2 linked regions of the Arabidopsis thaliana genome follow. The protein of the gene in region 1 purifies or fractionates together with the protein of each later gene. This does not show direct contact. Each region holds a gene or a part of one and is shown on either strand. Other genes may lie near its edges.

The links.
Region 2: the proteins of AT1G57720 (region 1) and eEF-1Bb1 fractionate together in Arabidopsis thaliana (co-fractionation; one large-scale study listed by BioGRID). This does not show direct contact.

What each region holds. Positions count from the first base shown.
Region 1 is NC_003070.9:21,375,284-21,379,211, reverse strand, and holds the start of AT1G57720 (Translation elongation factor EF1B, gamma chain), read right to left. Parts: upstream 1,893-3,928; 5' UTR 1,492-1,892; intron 1,478-1,491; exon of another isoform or gene 1,389-1,477; 5' UTR 1,340-1,388; coding exon 1,331-1,339; intron 1,056-1,330; coding exon 906-1,055; intron 828-905; coding exon 767-827; intron 674-766; coding exon 621-673; intron 510-620; coding exon 408-509; intron 270-407; coding exon 1-269. UniProt on the Arabidopsis thaliana protein: Probably plays a role in anchoring the complex to other cellular components.
Region 2 is NC_003070.9:10,637,114-10,641,041, forward strand, and holds eEF-1Bb1 (translation elongation factor EF1B/ribosomal protein S6 family protein), read left to right. Parts: upstream 1-1,800; 5' UTR 1,801-1,859; intron 1,860-2,146; 5' UTR 2,147-2,172; coding exon 2,173-2,255; intron 2,256-2,398; coding exon 2,399-2,515; intron 2,516-2,629; coding exon 2,630-2,723; intron 2,724-2,811; coding exon 2,812-2,935; intron 2,936-3,025; coding exon 3,026-3,305; intron 3,306-3,400; coding exon of another isoform or gene 3,401-3,402; exon of another isoform or gene 3,403-3,403; coding exon 3,404-3,488; 3' UTR 3,489-3,669; downstream 3,670-3,928. UniProt on the Arabidopsis thaliana protein: EF-1-beta and EF-1-delta stimulate the exchange of GDP bound to EF-1-alpha to GTP.

The sequences.
Region 1 (3,928 bases):
ACTGGAGGGACAGCTTCGGTTTGTTTGGCATCACCCAACACCTTCTTGAATTCTGGCTGGTTAACCATTGTCCAGAAGTATCTCTCAACATGAGGGAATGCAGAGGTAAATTTCTTGGTCATCACGGTGGCAAATCCCAAGTTCAAGTTGCAGATTGTGACAATATCAGCAAGGGTGACAGAGTGTCCAACAAGGAAAGTGTTGGAGGCGAGATGTGTGTTCAGAGCCTCAAGTCCTCTCTTCAATGCAGAAATTGCCGCTTCCTCAGCCTTCATTCAGATAAAACCATTAAAAAGATTAGTCAAGCTTAGACTAGTCAAATACTAATCTTAGCGAGTAAGGAGTAGCATGATTTGTTAGTACAGAGAGTGCATGAGACAAGGCACAAAAAATGAGGGAAAGCTTACTGGGGCAGAGAAGGGAGCATAGCCCATTCTTGGAGCAAACCACTTCAACATGTTAGCATCAATCTCCAATGAGGAGAAATCGATCCATTGCTCAATGTGAGCCTGAAAAGTAAACACATGCACATAGACATGAATCAATGATAGTAAACAAGAGATAAACACAAAGGTACGATAATTTTAAAAGGAAAGGCCATTGGATAAACAGGAGCTTACGTATTCAATAAGGGAGGATCCATTCAAAGAGTTGTCACCATTCTTACGGCTCACTGAAGGGGGATAACAAAACAATCATCATATCCAATTAATACCAAGTTATAGATAGGTGCATCAAAGAGAAACAGAAGGAAATGAAGTTATACCATATCGGGCAATGGCATTGCTCTCAAATATGGGACCTTCAGGAGTCTCAAGCACAGGAACCTAGTGGGATCATAATCTTTTATTAGCTAGGAATTTACAGCAAACATCAATCAAAACTTCTCGAAAGAGATTCCATACCTTTCCAATAGGGTTCATCTTAAGGAACTCAGGTGACTTGTTAGTGACGCCCATCTGAAAGTCTGCGGACTCCTCGATCTTCACACCCGCATACTCTGCAGCAATAAGTGCCTTATTGGCACCTTTGTTTCCCTTGTATGTGTGCATGACCTGATAAATAGTATGATTTACACAAACTTCATCAATGAAACTCAACAGAAATTGCATAGTTATATTCATCCAAAGTAGTTTTTCAATGCAACACAAAATCCAGTTCTCAGATTAATAAACAATCGTCCAAGATACCTAAATCATTCTAAAATCAAACTATATTCCCAGATTTAAGATACATGAATCAAAATTCATAAACTATCATCAACAGATCAGTAAAACCAATCGTGACGGATCTGATGAAACGTGTAATGATCTCAGAAGTGAGTACTTACCAACGCCATTGCTCAAACGGAGAAGATATACGAACTCGGAGATTTTCTGAGTTCAGATCTAGTTACCAAAGAAAACACCAAGTAAAAATCAGTTAATCGTCGATGAAATTTTGAAACGAGAGAAGCGTATATGAAGAAGAAGTTGATAGATTGATTCTTACGAGAGACTTTCTGCAAAAACAATTCCGAGAGAGCAAAGCGAGAGAGAAGAAGATACAAAAGCGGCGGCGAGAAATAGTATTAGAGTGTGGAAATTAGGGCTGTGTGAAGTCGGTTTTGGAGAATATTCCTTTTTCGTTTGATTCGGTTTAGCTTTTGGTTTTGTCAAATTTGGTTTGCTTATTTTTAAGGTTTAAACGATTATAACTTTTGCATTTATGTATAACATAATAAAAATTAGCGTATTGTTTTACCCAAAGTAAAGTTGGAGTTTTGTTTTTGCATTTTTTGACAGATTTTGCTGACATTTCCCCATGGCCATTTTGATATGTAGTTTAGTTGGTTGTATCCATATCCTTGGTGTGCCAAACTCGCATGTTGTTGAAAAAGAAGAAAAAGAAACACTAGTTCATCGAAATTCGTAGAAGCAACCTCACAAAGTTACTTCTCTGATTCATGTCTCTATGTGGTTTCTTCCTCTCCAAGATATCCTAAACGACAACCAAAAACAAAGTTTTAGACCATACAAACTAAACTTTAAATCCGAAAATGATATATCCTTTTTAAAAATAAGTTGTGTTGTGCTTTTTAAATTCAAAAGGGTTATTAACTTATTATGCAAGATTGATCCATAGATGTAAACTAAAACGTTACCACGTACAATGCCAATTAATATAATTAGGTTTTTGATACACCAACTCCAAGTATGGGTTTGAATAAATACAAAATTGATGAATTTTGTAACCCTTCTTTCACTTTGTGAAAATGAAATAAAATCTTTTAATTAAGTAGCTTCCAAAACTATTAGAGGGCATTATTGGTAGGTCCACTAAACTATGTTATTGTTCGTATGTCATACATATATAGATGTTTTTTTATTGAGTTCGATTTCTTCTACGAAGTTTACAAAATTGGTTACCTTCCACAAGTCTTTGCGTATCATTTCTTCACAACTTACTCCTTTTGGTCAACAGTACCAACAACTTTAATTTCAAGCATCTTCCGCCTCTTCTTCTTCTGCACTGCGTTTACTTTGTGTGACCAAAAATCCAAACTAAAGATATGGAGGTTCCAATCTGGCAATGGTGTTTGATCGTCATAGTGATCATATTCTTGGCAATTGCTTCCCATTTTCTGGGAAGAATCTTGTGTAGCCCTCGAGAGAGAATCGCAGATAGTAAAGCCGAGAAAAAACATGGACCAGCCGAAGCAGACAAGACTGCGAAAGGTGGCTCCGACCAACTCGTGTGATGATCTCAAAGAGCATGCATATATCGTCAAGTTTGGTTTGTAATTTGTAAGTTCATTTTTTTTTTTACTATTATTGTAAAATAATACTAATTGTTCACATCCATATATACATATATGCGTAAATATATATATGTGTGTGATCAATTCCAATTTAAAAAAAAAGAAGCATTGGAGAGAACACTAGTAAGCTCTTAAATTTGTTTTCAATTAGTCATCAACTCATCATCAAGTCTAAGAAACCAAAATGTAATTCGGGTTTACAACATTGCATGGTTAGCTTCATATTATGGGAAATTAAACTTTGATAGTTAGACCAAAAAAAACAAAAAACGTTGATAGTGTTGACCTTGGTGATGGAAATCAAATGAAATCAACTTTTAACCGTGGGTTGGCTATGTGCATATCGGATTAGAACCGATAATTGAGCTGCTGTAGACTCGCTTTAGGTTTGGTTTAATGTCCATGTTATGTTAAAAGGCTGTTATAATTGTTGAAACAAAGTTTTACAACAACCAAATTAAAAAAAAAGTTGTTGTAACAAAGCATGCTATAAAAAGGTAGAGCAAGGATCCATCTTGTGTATGATATATATATACATTTTAACATATGTAATTTCGTGTGAGAAATTCAGTTACTGAGAAGATAGTGAATTGCAAGTATTACGTAACGTAGGGATCTCAATCAAGTCCCGAAATCGTAAAAGCCTCACGTCTTTTCTTCTTCCTATTTCTTGGATCCTCTGTTCTTGTTCTGTTTTTCTTTCTTTGGTGGTTCTTGAGAGATTGAGAGAGTGAGTGAGTGTGAGAAATATTAAGTCAGAAGGATAAAATTCGATTCAGCTCCGCATATTCGATTGACATAGTTTAATTAAAACAGTGGAAAGATTCATGCAGCTTATAAAAAAAAAAAAAAAAAACCAAGAAATACTTTGATATTAGGTGATCAACGAATAATCTGAATATTGCAGAAAATATGATGAATGTTATTTTTCTTGAGCTTGCAAGCAGAATTTGAATAACTTTTCTTCAATATTTAGGGTTTATATTCCACATAATTTGAAGGCTTTTGTAAAACCTAAAAACGTACTATTTACAATTTTAGATTTAGCTTCAAATATGTAATAGTAAATCTTAAGCATGTTGCTAAAAAAAAAAAAAAAAAAAAAACTTATGCATGTAATTCTTTACA
Region 2 (3,928 bases), about 11 Mb from region 1:
ACATGACACTTTTACAACTTTTAATATATTAGAATACGTGATACTTGTTAATGTCCCAATTGGATCATATGTGGACCGTCGTGGAGGATTTCTACACATGTACAAGATAGATATTTAGTGATCTTGGCATGGCGCACACAACGATTGTATGAGGTGAGACTAAGAGATTACAGTAGAATACTAGAGTTCGATTCGATCAATCTAATAATGTCGATTATATTTACCTTAAGAAAAATAAAAATCAGTCAGGATATTTGGAATGATCAGCCGATGAAGTTGATCACTCATCAAATTTTTAAAAAGGGCCAAAAGAATTCTCTATGTCTTTTGTGCTTCGATAAAATAACATGGATATAATTGTTTTAGGAAAGTTTACATTAAAAGTGTTATATAGACAGAAGTTTGAGGATATAATATAGTTCTGAAATTGAATTAAACCTGTATGTTCCGGAAAAAAAAAGTCTTCCTTTAAAATGATTATGAAAAGAAGCATTTGAACCAGAATGTTGGAACTCAATTGGAATCTGAAATCCTTTTTCTCAACAAGGAGGAATTTTAAAAGAAACCAAAGTACATCTTTGGCCAAACTATATCTTGTTACTTTTTTCCCCACAAAATTTATAGCTTTTTGTTTTTACAAAAAGAAGTGATAAGAATATAGAAAAGTTGAACAAATCTTTTTTACAACGACTAAAACATACATGCAACTTCTTAGACGTATCAGAATAGGTGTTAAGAAACTATATAAAAACATATGTATATCATAAGTGTATAGATTTTGTAAAGTGTTTTTTTTTCTTGGGTAAAGGTTTTGTAAATTTTAGTTTTTTTGTACGTGAATGTTATATTTATTTTATGTGATAAATAACTAATAATACTTTGAAAAAGATAACTAGTAAAATATATATTAAAGTGGTGTCTGTTTGTAAACATGAAAACTTGGTATGTATACTAGATTTTCTTGGCGTTATGCATGTGAGATCCAACAAATGGTCTCAACTCCATCTTTAGAAAATAGTAAGAACTTGATATTGCGATTTTTTTTTTTTTTTTGAATAAAATTTAAAATTTATTCGAGAAAACATGTTTACATCGGATGCATCGTTTGTGCCTATAAACTTTTAGATACAAGAATCAATAGAATATGTAGAGAACTTTATTATCTTGAACCGAACCAACAAGACATGCAGCCATTGTAGCGATATTGCGATTTTGCTTGGGTAGCTTGCCATTTTTGGTGATAATATAACTAATATCCACATATTAGATAGTTTCTTATACATTAAACAAATTGGGTGACCTATCATTTTCAAAATGAATTCAATTTATTATTTTGTTAGTAAATGACAATTTAAAAGAGAAAAACTGAAAAAAGTGACAACTAATCAGAGAGGAAAATTGATGAATTTTGTAAGATACATACACATCTAATCTTTCCATAAATCATTCTAAACTACCTTATTAATAATTCTATAGATTTTTTCTTGTTACCACTTTTTTTAACAGTTTTGATTTCTGAGTACAATGCTAATTTATTCCTAACTGACACTCTGGAAATTTGGGTCCATATACACTTCTCATGGTTCACTTAAACATGACTATCTTTCATTCATAGACAGAAGAATTATGAATTGTTTTCTTGATGCTCTATCGTGTAGATCTTAACCGGTTTATTGATTTTTTTTTGTAAAGCCCACCAAGATAAAAGAGAAGGCCTAACTGAGGAGATAATTGGGCCACATATAGGCCCACTAAAGAAAAACCTAGAAGCTTAAATAAGTACCTATGAGAACTCTGCGCCATCCTCTTCTGCCTCCTCCTTCACTCTTCATCTTCAAAGACTGCGCCTTTTAGCTCAGGTTTGTTCTTCGATTTCTCCCGTAAGATCTTTTGTTCTTACGCCTCCTATTAGGTTTGTTTCGATCTCAAAGTAGCCATGGTCATAATAGTATTTGATTGGAAATTCGAAGTTTGAGTATTTTGATCCCCATGATTAGGAACTCTTAAGTGATGTCTTAGTGAATCAATTTTCGATGTTGTTCTTTGCTTCTAATTGTGATCTGTCTTTTAGCAAAATAAAGTTTCGTTTTTGCTGAATCGTTGGGGTTTTAGTAGTTGATCTGATCTTGTCTGCTTTTTATATCAGTGAAAAAGGTTCGAGCTTCGGAAACTATGGCAGCATTCCCTAACCTTAACTCTGATGCTGGATTGAAGAAGCTCGACGAGCATCTTCTCACTCGCAGTTACATTACTGGGTAAGTTTCAATTTCTTAAATTTGTCTTTTTTTTCAAGTGTTGTCTCAATTAAGTTGTTAACATCTCTAATAGATTAGATCCTTAATCTCTACCTTTTTGAACAAAAAGAGTAATAATTAGTTTCCTTTGTGTATGCTTATAGATACCAGGCTTCAAAGGATGATATCACCGTCTTTGCAGCTCTTGCAAAGCCCCCAACTTCACAGTATGTGAACGCTTCTCGTTGGTACAATCACATTGATGCCCTCTTGAGGATCTCGTAAGCTTGATTACCTTCTATTGTTTTCCATTTACTAATGGATTAAAGTTTTTAGCTGTCTGGAATCTGGATTAATCTAATATTGTTTCGTTATAATCATGTTTCTATATACAGTGGTGTCTCTGCTGAAGGAAGCGGTGTCATTGTTGAGGGATCAGCTCCTATCACTGAGGAGGCTGTTGCTACTCCCCCTGCAGCTGATTCTAAGGTATGCTTGATCGTCTCTATGTTTTCTCATAATGTTTTTGTAAAGTTGTGCATTGGGGAGATTTCATATGAATGTGTGTGTTTTGTAGGATGCTGCGGCTGATGAAGAAGATGATGATGATGTTGACCTTTTCGGAGAGGAGACCGAAGAGGAAAAGAAAGCTGCTGAAGAGAGAGCAGCTTCTGTCAAGGCATCTACAAAGAAGAAGGAATGTAAGTTTGGGTTTTGTTCTACCCTTGTAATTTATATGAATGATATGAAGATGTCTTGGATTTCTCATTGTTTTTATTATTCTTCATTAGCTGGAAAGTCCTCAGTTTTGATTGATATCAAACCGTGGGATGATGAGACTGACATGAAGAAGCTTGAGGAAGCTGTGAAGTCCATTCAGATGGAAGGTTTGTTTTGGGGAGCATCAAAGCTTGTCCCAGTTGGTTATGGTATCAAGAAGTTGCAGATTTTGTGCACCATTGTTGACGACCTTGTCTCTATTGACACCATGATCGAAGAGCAACTCACTGTTGAACCGATCAATGAATATGTCCAGAGCTGTGACATTGTTGCCTTCAACAAGATATGTAAGTTTCATGAACCTATTCGTAATTCTTTTTAAGCTGTGATCTTTTGTTAGATAATGTGGTGTGTAACTGTCTATGTTGGATTGAATCATAATGCAGGAGGATGGAGAAAGCTTCAAGGAATGTCTGTGTTCATGTGGTCTGGTTCTTCTTCTTCTTCTATATTCAGTTTCCCAAGTTTTTGTAGACTGTTGTTTTGACTCTGTTATGGCCTGCCATCTCTGATCCATTTTGATATTTAATGAAAAGTGACAATTCAGTATTACGTTTTCTTTGTGTATGACCCATTCTCTGCTTCTTCCTTCCCCTCTGTTCATCGCTTGTATCTCTAGATATGTGTTTCTTAGTGAATCCTTAGCAATTTTCCCTTGTAGCTCTGCCGAATAAAGTTCAGGTTTTGAGCTAAAACTAGTAAACTAGCAAGTGAGGACTGATAAGGGTTTGTGATTTAGAGCAACTCAAGCTGATAAAATTTATACTTATGTATCCATTTTTAGCGTTATATATTTGTTAAACTTGTTTCTCAATCGAGTTAAGCACAAAGGTAAAGTAAGGAGTTGGTTAATCTCTTAGCCTTAGGAAGATCTAGATGGAAGAAATCAACTTCATATACCACGATCGTTATTT